Macaca mulatta: one gene and its partners. The protein of the gene in region 2 purifies or fractionates together with the protein of the main gene of each other region. This does not show direct contact. Links are inferred from orthologs where the notes say so. Each region holds a gene or a part of one and is shown on either strand. Other genes may lie near its edges.

Evidence for each region. Proteins that work in one complex are often made in the same cells at the same time.
Region 1: the proteins of MED20 (region 2) and CDK8 purify together in Homo sapiens (affinity purification with mass spectrometry; 8 studies listed by BioGRID and IntAct, counting the BioPlex papers as one, with this or other methods). This does not show direct contact. The link is inferred for Macaca mulatta from reciprocal best matches to the Homo sapiens genes MED20 and CDK8.
Region 3: the proteins of MED20 (region 2) and MED9 purify together in Homo sapiens (affinity purification with mass spectrometry; 6 studies listed by BioGRID and IntAct, with this or other methods). This does not show direct contact. The link is inferred for Macaca mulatta from reciprocal best matches to the Homo sapiens genes MED20 and MED9.
Region 4: the proteins of MED20 (region 2) and CDK19 purify together in Homo sapiens (affinity purification with mass spectrometry; 5 studies listed by BioGRID and IntAct, counting the BioPlex papers as one, with this or other methods). This does not show direct contact. The link is inferred for Macaca mulatta from reciprocal best matches to the Homo sapiens genes MED20 and CDK19.

The regions. Positions count from the first base shown.
Region 1 is NC_133422.1:6,371,636-6,376,506, reverse strand, and holds the start of CDK8 (cyclin-dependent kinase 8), read right to left. Parts: upstream 3,254-4,871; 5' UTR 3,226-3,253; coding exon 3,098-3,225; intron 1-3,097.
Region 2 is NC_133409.1:140,266,934-140,271,090, reverse strand, and holds the end of MED20 (mediator of RNA polymerase II transcription subunit 20), read right to left. Parts: intron 2,118-4,157; coding exon 1,902-2,117; 3' UTR 177-1,901; downstream 1-176. UniProt on the Homo sapiens protein: Component of the Mediator complex, a coactivator involved in the regulated transcription of nearly all RNA polymerase II-dependent genes.
Region 3 is NC_133421.1:19,031,596-19,036,393, reverse strand, and holds the start of MED9 (mediator of RNA polymerase II transcription subunit 9), read right to left. Parts: upstream 3,254-4,798; 5' UTR 3,222-3,253; coding exon 2,998-3,221; intron 1-2,997.
Region 4 is NC_133409.1:15,874,703-15,879,480, reverse strand, and holds the start of CDK19 (cyclin-dependent kinase 19), read left to right. Parts: upstream 1-1,525; 5' UTR 1,526-1,848; coding exon 1,849-1,976; intron 1,977-4,778.

The DNA of each region.
Region 1 (4,871 bases), on a different chromosome or scaffold from region 2:
CATTCCTTACTCGTAATTATCTATTCTTTGGAACATAGATTATAACAGATTAAAAACCCTATTAAGAAATTTCCTTTTGTTTTTCTTTTTTGAAGAAAAATCTCTTATCCCAAATTGATATTTTAAATTATCCAAACATCCGGTGCAAATATTGAAAGTCTAGAATTGAAAAACACAAATTGTTTTCTGTCTTCTAATGCTTTCCTACTCTTTAAAACAAAATTAGTTTTGGTTGCCTAAATTCTGCAAAGACGAGATACAATCAACCCAGAAAGAAAATGAACCCCCCTGATTCCCACTGAGTACCCTTTAAGTGTTCAGACACAAAAGACAATATCTCATTTATGGCGACACTAGTGAGAAGAAATTAATCCCAGGATGTATTGTGTATGTCTTTAAACTCTATTATAATCTGAAATTCACACAGTAATAAAAGGTCCCTTTTCCCTACCATGCAATCATGCCTCAAGTAAGTCAAAAAATGAATCTTTCAAGCTATTTTATTTCCTAAAACTTAATAATTTAAGCAGCTAACTCCTCTGGTCTAAATTATTTTACCAATTGTTCATGTTCTATGCTCACTGGGGCAACTGAAAGGATACAACGTTTACATACATTCATTTCAATAGTCAAATATGTCTAAACCAAGCTTATTTGTGTTATTTCCTTTTATAGAAATTCTCAGGTTCTCCTTGAAGGTGTTACCGTCTGAGTTCCTAGAGAACAAATCTCAGCTGCAGAATATATAATGTAATTTGAAAGTAAATCAATACTAGAAACAAATTATTTGATCATCATCTTATTATAAAAGATTAAACAGCCACAAATTTTATTTTACCAGGACTAAAATGCATTAAATTACATTTCACTGACATAAGATCAAAAGAACCTCATAAATAGTATGCGATATTTTACCAGAGTGAGGTTACAAAAAAGAAGTCAAACTGAAAAATCCCTGTAATTTTAAAACTCTCCAAAACTATCTCTAAAAGATAGTAATTTTAAAACTCTCTTGACATTTGATCCATTAAAAACAGAAGTTCATCACATAAAGAGAATCATTAAAGACTGATGGAAAACAAACGCCAAGGATTACAAATAATAAGCTCTTTTTTCCAAAATGCAATGTTACTTTTCAGCTGTCACGGATGACTAAGAATGTCCATACATTATACCTTCAACTATCTTTAAATTCAAAGATATTGAAATTATTCTTTCAAATTATTCTTAACAACCTAAATTAAAACCGGACCATGGAGATATAAAATATTTGCTTAAGTACCTCCTGCCAATACACAGTATTAGTTTTCTAATAAAAGTACAACGTTAAAACAAATATGCATATTTTATTAGCTTAAGTTCATAGTTTTTGAAAACAGAAGCGGCTTCTCTCACACAGATTAAAAATAATGCAAAGGCGCTAGAATTTTATATAACATGACAGTGTGGTCAAATGCACTGTAATGTCTAATCTCATGGGATTGGGGATTTTATGAATATGCCCAAAATTACATAATACTGGGGGAAGGAGAGATGGTTTAAAGCTTTTGAGAAATATTGTATGGTAAGTTATCAAACATAATTTTTAAAATATATGTCATTACAGAGTAAAACTTCAACAATAAGTCTAATTAGACATCAACAGAGTCAGCAGTATCTCCAGACGCTGATTTCTCCAGTGCTAAAAAGTACTTTTAAATACGTGCGGCGCCCAGAGTATCAAGTTTTCAAATCCAAATCCCTACCTTCTGCCGATCTGTTCCACTTTATTGTGGCATAAAAGCACTAAAATACATATTCCAAATTAATGAGAACTCTTATCTTCCTCGTAGAGTCCATTGTAAACACTTTTAGAAAGATATTTCAGTAAATCTAAGAAAAATGTTGAATAAATACACACTTTCCTTTCCAACATCCAGAATACTAAAGTATTTATAAATATGCGCCCCCCTCCCCCACACTAGGGAACTTCAGCTTTATGAATTTTTTTTCGTGCTAATGTAGTCTGAACATACTCTCCTAATCTGAAATTTTAAGTGATTAAACATCATATAGCAGGTAACTAAACTGGAATGTTCCAGTAAAGCTACTTCGTTTCTAATAAAATCCAAAGATTATATAATAAGCTTTGACTTTTCAATAATTTTCTATTCTGTCAAAGGCAACAGAGACAACATCCATTTTACAAGAAAACATGGAGTTAATAAAATATATATTATTCCCCCCCACTAAGAACTGCCTTCTCTTTTGTCAATATTACAAGACATTCATCTACTGACAAAGAGAAAAAAACGAACAATTCACTTGCCTGTTAAGAAACTAAATTGGAAGCATTACCACTCATAGGTTTAATTAAGTTGTTACTAGGGAAGAATATTTAAAGCAAAGGGATTATTTAAAGTTCACTGCCAGCCGCTAAATTTGGGGGAAACAGCCTCAACGAGATAGTCCCTATGTCACTTGTCTTCTTCCCCACCACCCACCCTGCACCAAACCCCCATTGTTCTATGTAAAAATTCACAGCTAATAATATCTAAATAGCAACTGCAACATGTATGGTGCAGATGATCCGTATGGGGAACTCTCTCCAGAACCACATTCACTCGCTGCCTTCCTTCCCTCAAATAAAATACAAATTTGATAAAAAATCGATCACAAACTGGGGGGGGAAAGGATCACAGCCTTCCTTCTAGACCGATGGATGACACTCCCGAGGCGGGTGAGGAAATCCCCAGAAGGTTACCATAATAAATCGACCAAGGAAAAAAAAACAAACAGAAACATTTCACCCGGCGTTTTAGAACGCATTTTTTCATAAATCAGCTTTGAAATCCTTGAAAAGTATATAGCCCACGGTGCAGAGGCTCCTCTTCCCTCTTAGCACCGAAGCACAACACAGATGCGGCACGCAGGATTTCTTGTGGCTTTGGATCCCTTGTACACCACTTCCTCCCCAAACCTTGCTGGCGGAGCCAGAGGCCGGCGTCGAGGAAGTCAGAGCCCGGCACCCCGGCGGCCCGCTCTCCCTCCGGGCTACCTGCCTCGGCCTGCGGGAGCGCCGCCCAGCGCGGACACCGGCCCAGACGCACACACTCACCCATCTTTCCTCTTGGCTTTGTAGACGTGACCATAAGTGCCTCGGCCAACTTTGCAGCCCTCGTATTCAAACAGGTCCTCGACCCGCTCCCGCTCGCTGCTCAGCTTCACTTTAAAGTCATAGTCCATTGTCACAGCCTCCGAGGCCGGAGAGCTGGGTCGGGGGGCCGGGGGGCAGGGGTGGGGACCGGGGAAGCACGGGCAGCCGCAGCCCCCGGGAACCCGCCCGCTCTACGCCCGCCGGCCGCAGCACCAGCCCGACTGATGCGGCAAGAGCAGGAGGAGGCCCCGCGAAAGCGCCGGGGACATCCAGGGGGGCAGCGGGGCAGAGGCCGGCCGGGGGTGGAGGAACGGGGAGGATCCCCCGGCGAAGCAGAGCCGAGGGACGAGGGCTGGGGGTGGGGAGCGGTGTCTCTGCCCTTGTCCCCGCGGGCTCCCTGGGCGCCGGCTCCGCCGCTCTCTCCGGTCGCGCGTTCTGCTCCTGCTGCGGCGGGAGCGGCGGGGCGGCCAGGCGGGCTCTCGTCCTCTCACACGCGCACTCACGCCTCACGCGCTCACACACACGCTCACACTCACTCACTCACTCACTCACTCTCCCATACACTCAAACAGAAAGGCAGCGCCGCACAACAGCCGGTACCTCCTCAAAGAGAGGAGGAGGGAGGGCACTCGCGGAACACGGCCGCGGCTGTCGCAAAAACGTCGCGAAGCCTCGGGCTGCCTCCGAACCACCCTCCAACCCGCTCCCGCGGTGGCTGGCCGCCCCTGCTGGCGCTGGCACCCTGAGGACCGTGTGGAGGGAGCAGGGGAGCCGCTGCCCAAAGCTGCCGCAAAACGCAACACGTGGGACCAGCCCCAGCGGTGGCCGGTTCCGAGACTACAATACCCAGAATGCATAGGCCGCCGCCGCTGCCGCCTCTTCTACGACTCCGCCCCACATGGTGGGAATATGGGAGCGTTGCATGTTGGGACTCGTAGTCTAGGGTGAAATTCGTTTCAATCACTTGGGGAAAATTTATTTTTATTTTTATTTTTATTTTTATAGCGATCTAACTAGAGTCTGATTCCAGCCATAAACTTGACCAAAGAGATGCACGTGGGAAGGAGAGTAGCTTTAGAAACACATTTTGTGCCACTCTGAACTCCAGATGTTAAAGGCCACTGTCATCTATAAAAGCGGATATATTTGTAAACAGCTCGCGGGCCAGCAGTTGGGGTACTCTTGGTGTTCACAATCTGATAAGGGCTGCACAATGATGTCAACATACTGACATTACAAGCTCCAGTAAAAGTGAATCAATGACTACTGTCCAAGCTACTTCTAAACATTGTTACTCTTGTGACAGATGACCATCCAACCTTTCCTGTCCATTTATAGGAAGTATTGAGTACAGTACAGCCTTCTGCGATGCTCCCCATAAGAACACCAGTTTCTAGCTATGATTACAGAAAGGATCTAAATCCATGGGAACTAGTTTGTTAATAATTTTGCGGTAGCAGTATGTCCTGCTTCAGGAGTCCTGCTTCAAGATTGATACTAATCTATCATTTTATCTTATCCCTCTTATTTGTCTGTTTTTAATTTTTGGTTTCCAATTGTTACCATTTCCACTAAAGCTCCCCACTTCCCAAAGGGAACTTTGCACTTTTAATGTGAACTTTTTAACACTTTTTTTCCACCTTTCCTGTGTTATTTATCAAATTCCGTTTCATCTTTTATTTCCTCTCCCTTGCTAGATCCTAAGTTGTTATAGGAAGTCATATTTGCATCTTCC
Region 2 (4,157 bases):
GCACAAGTCTAGAGAGTCTGTATTTACTACAATCAACTTCTGGAGATTTTCAGGAAATGCATTGTGTTCAAAATGTTGCCTATGCATTGTTTCATTCCATAAAAGCTGCAGCCTACAGAAAAATACAAATAAATAAACCTGGGTGAGAGCAAATGTAAATCAGGAGGCCAAAAACACAAGATCTGTGCATTTTATTTGTGTAAACAATATCTAAAACATACCTCAATATAAAAAACCAGAAACAAAATAACAAAAACAGGGCGTGAGAACAAAAAATACAGATGACAGGTTCTGTAGTTATGATACTGAATTGAGCTTCCTGTCAGCCAAAACTAGAAGGGAAACATGACCACTACCTGACTTTTGCAGAGGCTTTAGATCTGAGCACTTGGATCTGAAGACAGTTTCTCTTTAGATGTCTTCAAATAAGGGACAGTATCCTTGATGACAATACAGTACGTATATTAACAATTCTCCTAAGACCATCTCTGTGTATATCAAGGTTATACCTGGATGAATATTTCTGCAGCAGGCATGGGGTAGGCAGGCAATATGACCAAATATGTAGTTTGGATGCTCGAATGAAACAGAAGAAGGAGCTCAGGCAACCATGAAGCATGGTGCACGTATCAGGGTCAAATGTTCTAACCCTAAGATTGGGGTGCATGAGAACTGGAGAGGCCTCAATACTGAGACTTAGACGAAGGGTGTGGAATTAACTTCCTACTGTGACTAATCCAACTTAGCTCAAAGTGACTCTGAGATCAGCCCTTCTCGCAAGTCAATTCATAAACGAATGCTTTAGTTACAGGAGGTATTAACTGCAAACGAACAGCCAAGAGCATTCCTGGGCATGTCCATTGAGCTCCATGTAGCAGAGGCCATTAACTGGGTCTCAGCAACCAAATTCTCTTTCATCTTGTAGTCACAGCATCCCTGAGTCTTAACTCGGCACATGACTGCCCAGATAAGAGGCTCTATGTCCCAGCATCTCTTTCAGCAAAGTGTGGCCACAGTGATTTGAGCAATGCTCAGTCCTATCTTTTTTAAAAAAACATATCTTTTCTCTCTCTCTTTCCCCAGGAGAATGCAGATATGGAGCTGATGAGTCTTCTTTGATATTGTGGGTAAGAAAACATACTGGGAATGGCTGAATAAGACAGAAGGAAACCAAGTTCCTGATAACCTTGTAGAGTTAAATCTGCCCTAGACCATCTGATTACCTCTCTATTATTAGGTGAGAAAAAAACAAACTTCAATCTTACAGCAGTTTGGCCTGTGGCTTAACATATTTCACAACAGAAGGGAAAGATGTCAGAAGGAGAGTTCAAAGGACTCAGGCAACATCCTAGGAAAGTCAATTCGCAAATCACTTCAGCAAACAGGTCAGAAAATGGTAACTATCAAACCAGTTGTGCCTTCCACTCTATCTCCAGGATAGAAGCCCAGTTACATCCTCTGACAAAAGGAAGAGGCTCTTATTACAGCACAATCCAAACATAAAATGCAGCATGTTCACGGTGGGCCTGAGACAAATCCCCAATAGTTGAGGATACAGACTGTTTCCCCCACCAATACCAGGCAGGGACATTCCTGTCCTACCTTTCCCCTAAAGGAGGCAGGGTCCAAACTTCTCCATTCTTCATAATTACCATTCTTGAGGATAGGCCAAATCCAGTAAGGAATGAAATAAAACAGCTGATGGGGGGCTCTGTGTGAGAGTCAGGGGGTTGGGGAGGGGACTCCAGAGCCCCAGAACAAAAGCCACAGCTGGGAACCAGAGAAGGAGAGTAGATTCCATGTCTACCCTGGGTTTCTGGGGTCCGGGGACCTGAGAGTCAGCACCTGCTTCTCCTGTGGAGTACCCCTGGTGACAGAGCTCAGCTGGCAGCTGCTTATCCCTAACGAATCCCAGCCACCGGCACCTGCTGCTGCTTGCGGATCTTGTTGAAGAGTTCCATGTACTGGACCATGGTATCTGCTGGGCCGTAGACTGCATCATGTCTGTTCCCAAACACTGCGGGAGCGCCTGGTGTGTGGCTGCCTAGAAAACTCTGTAGGAACTCAAGCAGCAGGCTCCAGCAGTCACTAGCTACCACACAGGGGCCATACTCCACCTGGGAACCAAAAGCACAGAGAATGAGGGTGAATGAAGGCTAAGACAAGGTCTGCTTCTCTTGCACCTCCTGCCTCCTGCTCCCATCTTCCCCAACCCCAAGCTAAAGACACACACCTCCTAGCACAGTGTTGGTCCACAGGAAACACTCAACCCAAACACTGGGCTCAACACCCACATCTTTAGGCATCTTTGACATTTCTCTTTCTGGAGCTGTGCCAACCTGCAGCCCTCCCAGAGGATCCAGAAGCAGATCTGGGCCCCTTTTGATGATCTCAGGACTGTGTTGTCCCTGCTATGCTGGGTAAAGATTCAAGGAGAGCTCAAGAAAATTCTAAGAGACATGACAAAGATAAAGAGAAGGAAATGTGTGTGATGGTGTAAGTAGAGAGCAGAGTAGACACAAATGCTTATGAGTTTTTTTCAAGACCATATTTTACTCCCTAGGTAGAACCAACCTGGGCTCCAACCCTAAGAAAGAATTTCCCAAATAGTGTGGCATGGGCCAAAAAATATACATCTTAGGTTTTCTCCTTCTGCTCTCTTAATTATTTACTGGAGAGATGGCAGGGCAAAATTACTGGCAACCCTAAGGAGAAACAAGTAAATAAACAGGTGGGGTGTGTTTCTACTACAAGATTAGAAATGTGGAGGATAAACAGTAGGTCCTCAGTAGGTCTCAGCAAATCCAAGGTCTATCACAAGCTGAAAGGGTTAGGAAGTCTTGGTCCTAGAGGTTGCTGAGCAGAAACTACCACTAATGCCCTTTTCTCCAAGTGGGATTCTTCCTAGACTTTTCTATCCCCATGTTTCTACATTTTAAATCCCTACATAAATGTTGATCCTCCAGGAAGCATCACAACCAAAGTCAGCAGTGCTCATACTGGCTTGAATTCCCAGAGCAAACTGCCTCTTTTATGGCATTTTCAGACTAACTTCAAAAATAGTTTGTGTGTTTCGGCCTCACTCAATAAATAAATCACAAATTTTCAAAGGGTAGACCCTGCAAGCTTACTTGTTTTCTTATCTTAGTGCTGGGCACATTGTAAGTTGTGAACTTTCCCTGGTCCCAAAGAAGCCAGCTACTGCCACACTGCCACTCTCACTCCTTGTCACTATATATGTGTATGTATGCGCGCACACACACACACACACTCTCTCTCTCAGGGTCACAGATGAAGTGATCTCACACACAAACACCTCTTTCTCCATGAAAGAATGCAGACAGCATGTCAAAAGGAAAAGCATATTTTTGCTTCCCAACTTTTGATACCTATCTTAAAGCATACTAAGGAGAGCTATATGGGCATATGTGATTTAGGGCCCACCTCCAGAAAATTATTCCAAGAGTTGTCTTGGTCTGCTCCAGTACTTCTTCTCATGGGTGACTGTCCCTCCATATCATAACTCACCTGCCTTCCTTGACTATCTTTTCCCTTCTCTAGCAAGCCACCCTTCCTAATGAAGCTTTCTGCTTGCTTTGAACCCAGCTTCCCACTTCCTACTTCCCACCTTGTGTTAGAGAGTCTCAGTCTCTGAAGGATAAAAGATTCACGGAGAGAAAGCACAGATGCCTTGGAGTCCGGAATCAGGTAGGCATAAATATCTGTTGAAACTGAGAAGGACTGGAGGCCAGGTGTGGTGGCTCATACCTGTAATCCCAGCACTCTGCGGGGCTGAAGTGGGAGGATCACTTGAGCCCAGGGGTTTGAGACCAGCCTGGGCAACACCTCAAGACCTCATTTCTAATTAAAAAAAAAAAAAAAAAAAGGCCAGGCGCGGTGGCTCAAGCCTGTAATCCCAGCACTTTGGGAGGCCGAGACGGGCAGATCACGAGCTCAGGAGATCGAGACCATCCTGGCTAACACGGTGAAACCCCGTCTCTACTAAAAAATACAAAAAACTAGCCGGGCGAGGTGGCGGGCGCCTGTAGTCCCAGCTACTCGGGAGGCTGAGGCAGGAGAATGGCGTAAACCCGGGAGGCGGAGCTTGCAGTGAGCTGAGATCCGGCCACTGCACTCCAGCCTGGGCGACAGAGCAA
Region 3 (4,798 bases), on a different chromosome or scaffold from region 2:
TCTAGAAGCCAGGTGGGGGAAGGCTCGAGTGGGGTCTCTCTTCAGACTGCGAACTTTCTCTTAATCCCTCTTTTCAGTTATGATTCCCCCTACCTACCCCTGCAGTGTGCCTGTTGTCCCCCAGTCCAGGTACTCTCTGGCTTATTTGTTCCTAAGAATAAATCTTGGGAGAGTAACCTTTTAACCACCCACCAATTTAGAAGAAGGGTAGTCACCTGGCCGCTTGGAGGGGCTGGGAGGTGGGACAGGACTGCTTCTTAAACAGACTTCAAGTAATCATCCTGTTCTTAGACCCACCTTCACCCCTATTTCCAGGGGGTCCTTGCACTAGAGTTCCTGAGATCTGGGGGTAGGCCATGTTTAACAAGCCAGCTGCTTAGGAGTTGGTAGATGAATTAGCACTGGTCATTCACTTTGTAGCGATCATCTCCTGTCCTATTCTTTTCGGTTTTATGCTTTTTATTTTTGAGATAGGGTCTCGTTCTGTCACCCTTGCTAAAGTACAGTGGCATGATCTGGGTTCAAGTGATCCTCCCACTTCAGCCTTCCAAGTAGCCAGGACTGCAGGCACACACCACGCCTGGCTAATTTTTTTTTTTTTGTATTTTTTGTAGGGATGGGGTTTTGCCATGTTGCCCAGGCTGGTCTTGAACTCCCAGGCTCAAGCGACCAGCTCACCTCAGCCTCCTAAAGTGTTGGGATTACAGGCATGAGCCACTGCATCTGAAGGTTTTATGTATTTTTTTTTTAAGTCCCTTCTGTGTCCCTTTAGACGAAACAGAGACAAGCACATGTGATCAGCCCACTAGGTTTCACAGGTACGCTCTTGAGTACATCTCCCAACAATCCTATGACATAAGCATTCCCATTTCATAAGAGAAAAACAGGCTCAGAGAAGCTAAGCTACTTGCCCAGGTCACCCAGTCAGCACATTATAGAGCTATTACATAATCTAAACCTCTCTTTTGAGGTCCACTATGGACATATTAGAGATAAGAAGATTATGGCCTAGAAAGGTTAGACATTTATATCAATATTAGAAGGCATGAAAATGTCAGTATACAGATTTGAACTCAGGACTGTCTAACTTCAAAGCCTCTTCTCTGTAGTATAACTTACTACTACATCTTTAAGGCCAGCCCAATCCAGCTGCTTTACCAGGGCTCAAGAATATACTCTTGGGGGGTTCAAGAGCTGTCTTTGTGAATGTGTACATTTTGTGTTTTCCTTTTTCCACATTTTTCTTAAAACCAGTAAACTGGGGTTAATCTGACTAAACCCTTTATAATCCGGCACTGCCCTGGGATTATAGGGGCTCCATACGTATTTCTGTCTGTGATCATTATCACAGGCTCACAAAAACTGAACAGGCTGTCTTATCCCAGAAACATTTTTTTAAATTTATTTATTTATTTATTTATTTTTGAGACAGAGTCTTGCTCTTGTTGCCCAGGCTGGAGTGCAACGGCATGATCTCGGCTCAATACAACCTCCACCTCCCAGGTTCAAGTGATTCTCCTGCCTCAGCCTCCCGATTAGCTGGGATTACGGGCACCCACCACCACACCTGGCTAATTTTTGTTTTTAGTAAGAGACAGGGTTTCACCATGTTGGCCAGGCTGGTCTCAAACTCCTGACCTCGTGATCCGCCTGCCTTGGCCTCCCAAAGTGCTTGGATTACAGGCATGAGACACCACGCCCGGCCCTTATAAACAGTAAACACCAAGTGAAGCCAAATGAAGCCAGGGTCTAATGTGAGAACAAAGCCTTTGTAGTTATTTGAAAAGTGGCAGAAGAGCATCAGGTCATCCCACAGCAAGTGAATCTAGTTTGCTTAAACTCAAAAGTGGGTGGGCCACTAACGGTCAAGACCTTCACGTTGTAACAATTCCGTTTCAGTAAAACAGTGAAGAGCACATTCATGTTCACCTGAATGTTACTGGATTCGTAATTTTCTTTTAATTTACTTTGTGGTCTTTAATGGCTGAATAAGAGTTATAAGCCTAAGGGTTTACACCTACTATCACGTGGATATAGAGTGAAGTAACATAATGAAAATAATTTACAGCCTAGGCAACACGACTAAATTCCATCTCTACAAAAAGTACAAAAATTCGCTGGGTGCTGTGGCTCATGCCTGTGGTTCCGGTTACTTGGGAGGCTGAGGTGGGAGGATGGCTTGAGGCCTGGAGGTTGAGGCTGCAGTGAGACGAGATCACGCCACTGTACTCCAGTCCGGGTGACAGAGCGAGACCCTGTCTCAAAAAAAAAAATAATAATTTAGGCAAACACTGGGATCAGTAAGACTTTCGTGCTTTTGTTTTTGGTTTTTCCTTTACAGAGTCACTTTGAAAACTCAGGCTACCCTAAAGGCTGGCCAAAAGGATGACAATTATCTCCTTTGGTACTGTTGGAACAAAGTCAGTACAGGTGGGTCTAATCATCTCAGGCAACTTCTGTGTTTTTGCTTAGTCTAATATTTCCCATCGCCACCGCTCCCCTCTCAATCTTTTTGAATTATGGGTTATTCCCAATCATGTCTTTTTTTTTCCTTCTATGCCCCTTTTACTGTGTCCATCCCATAGCACTTGGCAGTGTCCCACACAGGGAAGATGATGCTTATCTGTTGAGTCTGTTGAAATAAGGAACTAAAGTGAGTATTACTAACATTAAAGGTGAGAAAACTGAGACTTAAAGAGATTTAATTTGCTCAAGATCGATGGGATGCACGTTTGAGCCGCTGGACAAGAGTCTGTATGTAGTCTCTAAGCTGGCTTCATTCTTAAGGATATCGCACCTCTCGGGGCTCAAATCGTTTGCTTAACTCATGGAATGTCTCTGTGGTCTTGGGAAAGGCCTCTTCCCGCTCTGGGTCTGAGTTTCCCCATCTGCGAAACGGGGGCGTGCCCTAGAGCGCCAAGGCCTCTTGAAGCTCTGAAACGGCTGAGACGAGAAGCTGGAGGGAGTATGGGGCCTGGTCCTCTCCTAGGTTCTTACCATTTGATGATGCTGTGAACCAAAGGTAAAAAGGAGTAGTTCTCTTCCTCCCTCGCGCGGGCAGGTGACTGAGGCCGTGGCGCCGGCGACTGCTGCGGCTGAGGCGCAGGGACAGGCGGCGGCTGAGGGGGCGGCAGCGGCTTGGTGTCAGGCAGCGGCTGGTCGGACGTTGGCGGCAATGCATCCTCCGCCTGTCGCCCGGCTGCCACCCCAGCAGAGGCCATGGCTCCGGGGTTAGGTTAACCCAGAGGTCGGGTCGCCGACAGCGTCGCGAACTCTATACGTCACCACCGCGCGCCCTGCAGGGGCGCAGTGTGGAGGAAGGCTCTGAGCATGCGCACTGGGCACTCGGCTGGCAACGGGGCGGAGGCGGGGTGGGGAGACTGTTGCTAGGCGACGGGCCGTGGGTGGGTCTGGGGTGCCTGGTTTTGGGTTGAGTCAAGACCCAAAATTATTTAAATATTATTAAATAGTGAGAAATAGGGGATTTATTTCAGAAATAACAATTTTTTTTTTTGAGACGGAGTTTCGCTCTTGTTGCCCAGGCTGGAGTGCAGTGGCGTGATCTCGGCTCAAAGCAACCTCCGCCTCCCGGGTTCAAATGATTCTCCTCCCTCAGCCTCCCAAGTAGCTGGGATTACAGGCATACACCACCACGCCCGGCTAATTTTGTATTATTAGTAGAGACGGGGTTTCTTCATGTTGATGGTTTCGAACGCCCCACCTCAGGTGATCCGCCCTCCTCGGCCTCCCAAAGTGCTGAGATTACAGGCGCAAGCCACCGCACCTGGCCAGAAATAACAATCTTCTTATTCCTATTCACACGATGAAGAGGGCCCCAAAGCCACAAACACAGGAAGCCTTGAGGTCAGTAAGGCGCAGCCTGGCCCAGTGCACCCAAGTCTGGAGAGGAACCACTGGACCTGCAGGAGGCGTAGACAGCACTTACCTGCTGGCTGAGGCACCAAACCCGGCCCGGCCCACAGTGCGAGACATCGAGACCTCCTGCTTAGCCCTAAGGACGCAGAGGCAAAGGGATTGCGGTCCCTTCAGTGCTGCATGGCTGCTGAGAGTCTGATAATTCAACTCAACACACTTTTAGTATGCACCTGCTGGATGGCCAGGTGTAATGTGTGGTTGCAGGGAGGCTGTCCTTGCTTTCAATACAAGGTAGAGGGGATTCGTGCCAGGAATAAATATCATATCCTGGAAGAACGACAAAGTCAGGTACTCTCCATACCTTCGGGCCAGTTCCTCAAACCCCTAGGTCCCAGTTTCCTCACCCCTAAAATCATATTTAGTTCAGAGTCATGGCAGAGCCTAAACTGCATTCTAACTTCACATTCGTGGCTGACCCCAAAAGGTCTTGTTGGCATGAGGACTCCCTAGGATCGTAGGCCAAAGATGGGTTTATGGTTATGCTTCTCAAAACAAGTTTGCTATGAGGGCTAAGTAGCAATTTTCTGCGCAATGGGGACAGCCACCCTAAGCTTAGCTAGTTAGAAGACATGAGTGGGGAAAGCTGTCAACTGGCGAGCCCATTCTGCTGTAATCCACCATCATGGGCAGTGCAGAGAGGCGAGGAGGTCCACATCCACATAGTACTATGAACAGGAGCCTTAAGAGCAAGGTGGCCAGGGAAAGGATCACTGCTGATATTTTCAGGCACATTGGGAGGGCTGTGTGGAGGCAGATCCTTGCCGAGTAGGACCATAGACAGAAGTGCTGTTGGAGGGTCCGCTGTACAGGTAAAGGGCCTCAGCACAGCTCTCTGCAGCAAGAGCTGCCCACGATGCCCCAG
Region 4 (4,778 bases), about 120 Mb from region 2:
TTAATTATGTATGTATGCACAAGAGTCCCACAAAATATGAGACTCAAAGAAGGGCCAGATATTTGACACTTACATTACAACCTGGCCTCAGAAAGGAAGTGGGGGCCCGGTGTGGTGGCACGAACCTGTAATCCCAGCTACTCAGGAGTCTGCGGCAGGAGGATCCTTGATCCCAGGAGTTGGACGCCAGCCTGGGCAACACAGCAAGGCCAGTCTCTTTAAAATAAAAGTGGGGCTTGGGGCTTCCAGGGGGTGGTGGAGACAAGTTAAGGGAGGATAAGAGGAGAAAACGTAAGATGAATAAAGGTTGACGTTTATGCAGATAAAAGTATCTCATCATACTAGTTGACTAGGAGCAGCTCTCTTTCTGGTACAGATTCCTTTAATTATGAAAATTTCCTTTAGAAATGTACATTTCTCTTTACAAAGGGACAGTTTTATCCTTTATTTTAGGCAGTAGTGGGATAAGTGAAGCATTTTCCTGTGTTGGCTGGATCTTATTTTTGCTGAAAGACATCAATATGCCAGAGTGGCATATTTTGGGGTGGCATATTCTGGACTCCTTCAGTTATAATTTGTGGTAGTGTGTCCTGAGCCCCAACACAATGAAATCAATCAACGTTCACCCTAACTAAAGGGGCTTTCTTAAATATTCTAGGAGAACCTCTCCACCATGCATAGACCGTAAAAAATCCTTTAAAATTCAACCCAAAGGATAGTTTTAAAACGCGGCTTCCTCCAGGCACTTTTAATTGTTCTTAGACAGATGGCCAAACCTAGTTATGCGAACCGCATATGCTAAGAGAAAACTGACTAGAGCGCCAAGAAAATGATGATTGGCTGCCGGAGCTCAGAAGTTGCATGTTCTTCTCTGGCCAAAGCAGGCACTAGGAAACTGCTGAAGGTTCAGTTTTTGAAATACGGTTTTTGCATCGTAAAGAAAAAAGATCAACCTATCAGGAAGAACCGAGCACATCCAATCGCCAATCAAGAGCGGGAAAGAAGCCAAAGCCTGGGGATACCCACGCACCAACGAGGACGTCATTCTCAAGCCCCCGCCAATGAACAGCGGGACGGGGGGCGGGGCAATAGGCGGACCCATTGCCCTAGAAAACAAACAAGCTGCGGTACAACTGTCCTCACTAGCCCTCTCTTCCGAAGCTACTGCAGCCAAGCCCTCAGCAAGGTGCTGATTTAATGCTTTCTATGCTTTGTGCGTGAGGCTAGTTACAGTGGAGTATCCCCTTCCCACTAAAGTAAGGCACTTCTTTCCAGTGCCTCCCCGAGAACTGCAGAAAGCACACTGGAACTTCTAGCTTTCCACCTTCACAGCAACCGGGAGCCCCGCGCTACCTGAGGGGGAGGGGCGGCCCTGGTACGCAGGCGCGCATGCTTTGTCGGGGGCGAGGCTGTGGCGGCCCGAGGTAACCTGGGAGCTGTATTTCTTAGGCCGGCGAAACCGCCCTGGCCGCTGAGGCCTTCGGGACTACATTTCCCAGGAGGCCCCGCGACCATGGGGCGGGCCGGTGAGTTCGTTAATGAGCTCGAAGAAGCCACGGCGCGGCCCACCAGGTTCCAAAACAAGGAAATGAAGAGGGGAGGCGGGACTGGGGGTGCCTGTGGGAGCCGCCGCCGCCGTCGCGGAGGAGGAGGAAGAGGTGGAGGAGGTGGCTGCTGCGGCCGCCGAGGAGTCCCTTGCTGAAGGCGGACCGCGGAGCGGCGGGCGGCGCGCGCGCGCGCCCGAGAGGCGTCTGTTGGAGAAGTGGAGCGGCGGTCGCGGGGGGAGGAGGAGGAGGGACTGAGCGGCGGCGGCCCCCGCGTCCCGTGCCTCTATGGGGGAAGCAGACAATGGATTATGATTTCAAGGCGAAGCTGGCGGCGGAGCGGGAGCGGGTGGAGGATTTGTTTGAGTACGAAGGGTGCAAAGTGGGACGCGGCACCTACGGGCACGTCTACAAGGCGAGGCGGAAAGATGGGTAAGAGCAGGGGCGGGAGGAGTAGGCTCTCTCGGGTCCTCGCCCTGCCCGCGACCTGGCGGGATGGGTGGGTCGGATCCCAGTCGGGCCGTGCCCGATGGGCGAGGCGGAGGGGATCGCGGGGTCGCGTCCCGACACCGACTCCGAGGGGCGCCCATTCCGCCCGCCTCCCCCGCGCGGTCGCCGTCGCGCCCCTCGAACTCCCGCGGAGCAGCTCGGTCCGAGGCGTCGGTCCCGTCCCAGAGGGACGCCCTCCGAGTGCTCGGAGACGGCGGCGGGACTCGAGTTGGGACCGCGGTGGAGGAGGAGTTTTGGGGTCTGGTCTCTTGGGGGAACGCAGCGGGCAGGCAGAGCTCCGCCGCGGAATTGCCGCTCCGGCCCTGTGTAGTGACGGTCGTTGTGGAACTTCCAATCGGCTGAGCGCCTCGCGGGGGCGGCGGTTTGAAACCTCGCCGGGGAGCCCGTCGGACGAACACGGCCTGGGGTCCTCGCCAGCCCGGCGGCTCTGACCCGCTGGGCACCGCCGCCCCCGGCCGCGATCTCCGCCCCCTGGGGCTGGCCGGCCCGTTGGCCCCTCTATGCGGTACTCCCATCCCTGTCGTATGCCCGGCGTCCCGGATTTTTCATTCTCACATTCTGAATTGCGTACCTTCCCCCTTCGAAGGAGACCTGATGGGCCAGCTGCGTTTCGCAAGCAGTAACTTAAGAGTTGGCTCAGTTCTCTGCTAACCACCCTTTACCTCGCAGCCCCTTGGCTATCTTGGGTATTATGTCCTCCACTCCATCCTCTGCCCGATGACTGTGGGCTGGGGCTTATCGAGTACCTAGATTATCAGGAAGGGAATACAGAGTGACAAAGCTGGGCCTGAACCTTTGTTTTCCTAGGAGTTGGGGGAGAACTGTAGGAACACCTTGGGAAGGCTTTACTGATTGTCCTCTTAAGATAAGAAGAGCTGAATAAAGTACTGAGAATGCCTATCCTTACTTGGTCCTGGAGGGCAGACAGCAGCTACAGCAGGGCCGGTGGAACCAGCTTCCTGGCAGGAATTACCCTCCCCCAAGGTTAGGGACCCAGGAAGATACCCTGTCCAGCATAGACTTTAAAGAGAGTCAAACTCTACGGAAGAGGATTGTAACGGAATATTTCTGAATACACTGATGATCAGCCACAATGACATTAGTAAAATTTGAAGTGCTGCTTATCTTTGTGCGCGCTGTTATAATTTGATGTGGTTGGTATATGAACTCTAGGACCAAAGTAGGTTGTATGCGTATGCACTAATTTCATAAAACAAACAACTCTAGTGTTTTGTCATAAGGTATCGTGAAAATTGCAAAGTACTATCCAAGTGTAAAGGATTATTATTGCAGAGTTTTTTTTTTCTCTTGTAATAACTTGAACAGGCCTCAAGGTACTCAGTTGTTTCTCATAATTCCTTTAATTACCAGGTGTCCTTGAATGCTTATCATAGAATGTGAGTTACTATAATTAACATATTTTGGTTTTGGAATATCCACTCTACCTGTTATACTAGTGTTCTTGTGGGAATTTTATCAGATATATTTGGGGAAAGCACATCCAGTTTTCCTGTTTGGACACTTAATAAATCTGAGGTGGGTTTTTCCCATACTCCTCATGCTAACTTTGTAATATACTTTAGGTTTTAAAAAATGTATTTTAGTGGGGTTTTTTGTTGTTGTTGTTGTTAAAATAGCTTTCTCTTATTAGGGAACGTTTGAGAAGTTAAAAATTCTGCTTCTGAATTGTATTTGAATAGTATGGGCTTATAACAAAAACCAGATAATTCCTGCTTCTATATTTTTTGAATATTTTTCCCCTCTAATAAAGTGCTTGATTCGAATACACTTCCTTTTTGAGTGAAATTTGTTAATTAGAATGAATAAAGCTTCTTTACTAGAGTAAGATTAGTTTGGTTGTCTTCAAAATATAATGCTCTTTTTTTCTTAAAAAAAAAAAGTCTCAGGGTCTGAAAGTGTTAGTTTAAATCACTATGTTATGTATAAGAAAAACCATAATAAAGGCTTTTTTCCTGGATGAAAGATCTGGTTGAGATTTGCAACTTTACAGTAAACACCCACATCTCTTGTGGGTTGGTAGTGGGATTAGTTTTATGTTCATTGATACCAGCAATCTGAAAGAACATCTGTGTCCTTTGGGTTCATGTTAAATTTTTTTTTTTTTTTAACTGTTCTAAACTGCGAGGCAGATTTGCATAGTAAAGGATTTTACACTCTGATCATGGTAGATTACAGTTTAGCTCTTTCCAGATTTTATTTTGGTTAACTCAGAAAATGCATAATGCTGTTTTAGGGAGCCAGACATCACATAGGTTACATTAAAGAGAAATGATTTTGGTATATATAATGTAGTATATAACCAAAACATTGTTCAGGTCTTTAGAAGAAACATTGAAAGAAGTAACTTAATATATCATTAGAAAAGTTTAATACTACAGTTTGCAAAATCTTAAGTTATTTCCCTTGAAGTATGACTTTAGGCAATATTATATCACATAAATTTATAACAAGCTGGAAATGCAAGATTTACATCTGAGTTTTTCACCTTTAATTAAAAATGTTATTTGTTCACCTTTTTGTTTTGCAAGAAGAGAGGCTTTTGACCCAACTCCCCTTTTTATTTAATATTTATACTTTTGAATATTTTTTGTAGAGACAGCGTCTTGCTGTGTTGGCAGGGCTAGTCTTGAACTCCTGGGCTCAAGTGATCCTCCTGCCTCAGCCTCCCAAAATGCTGGATTACAAGCGTGAGCCACCATGCTG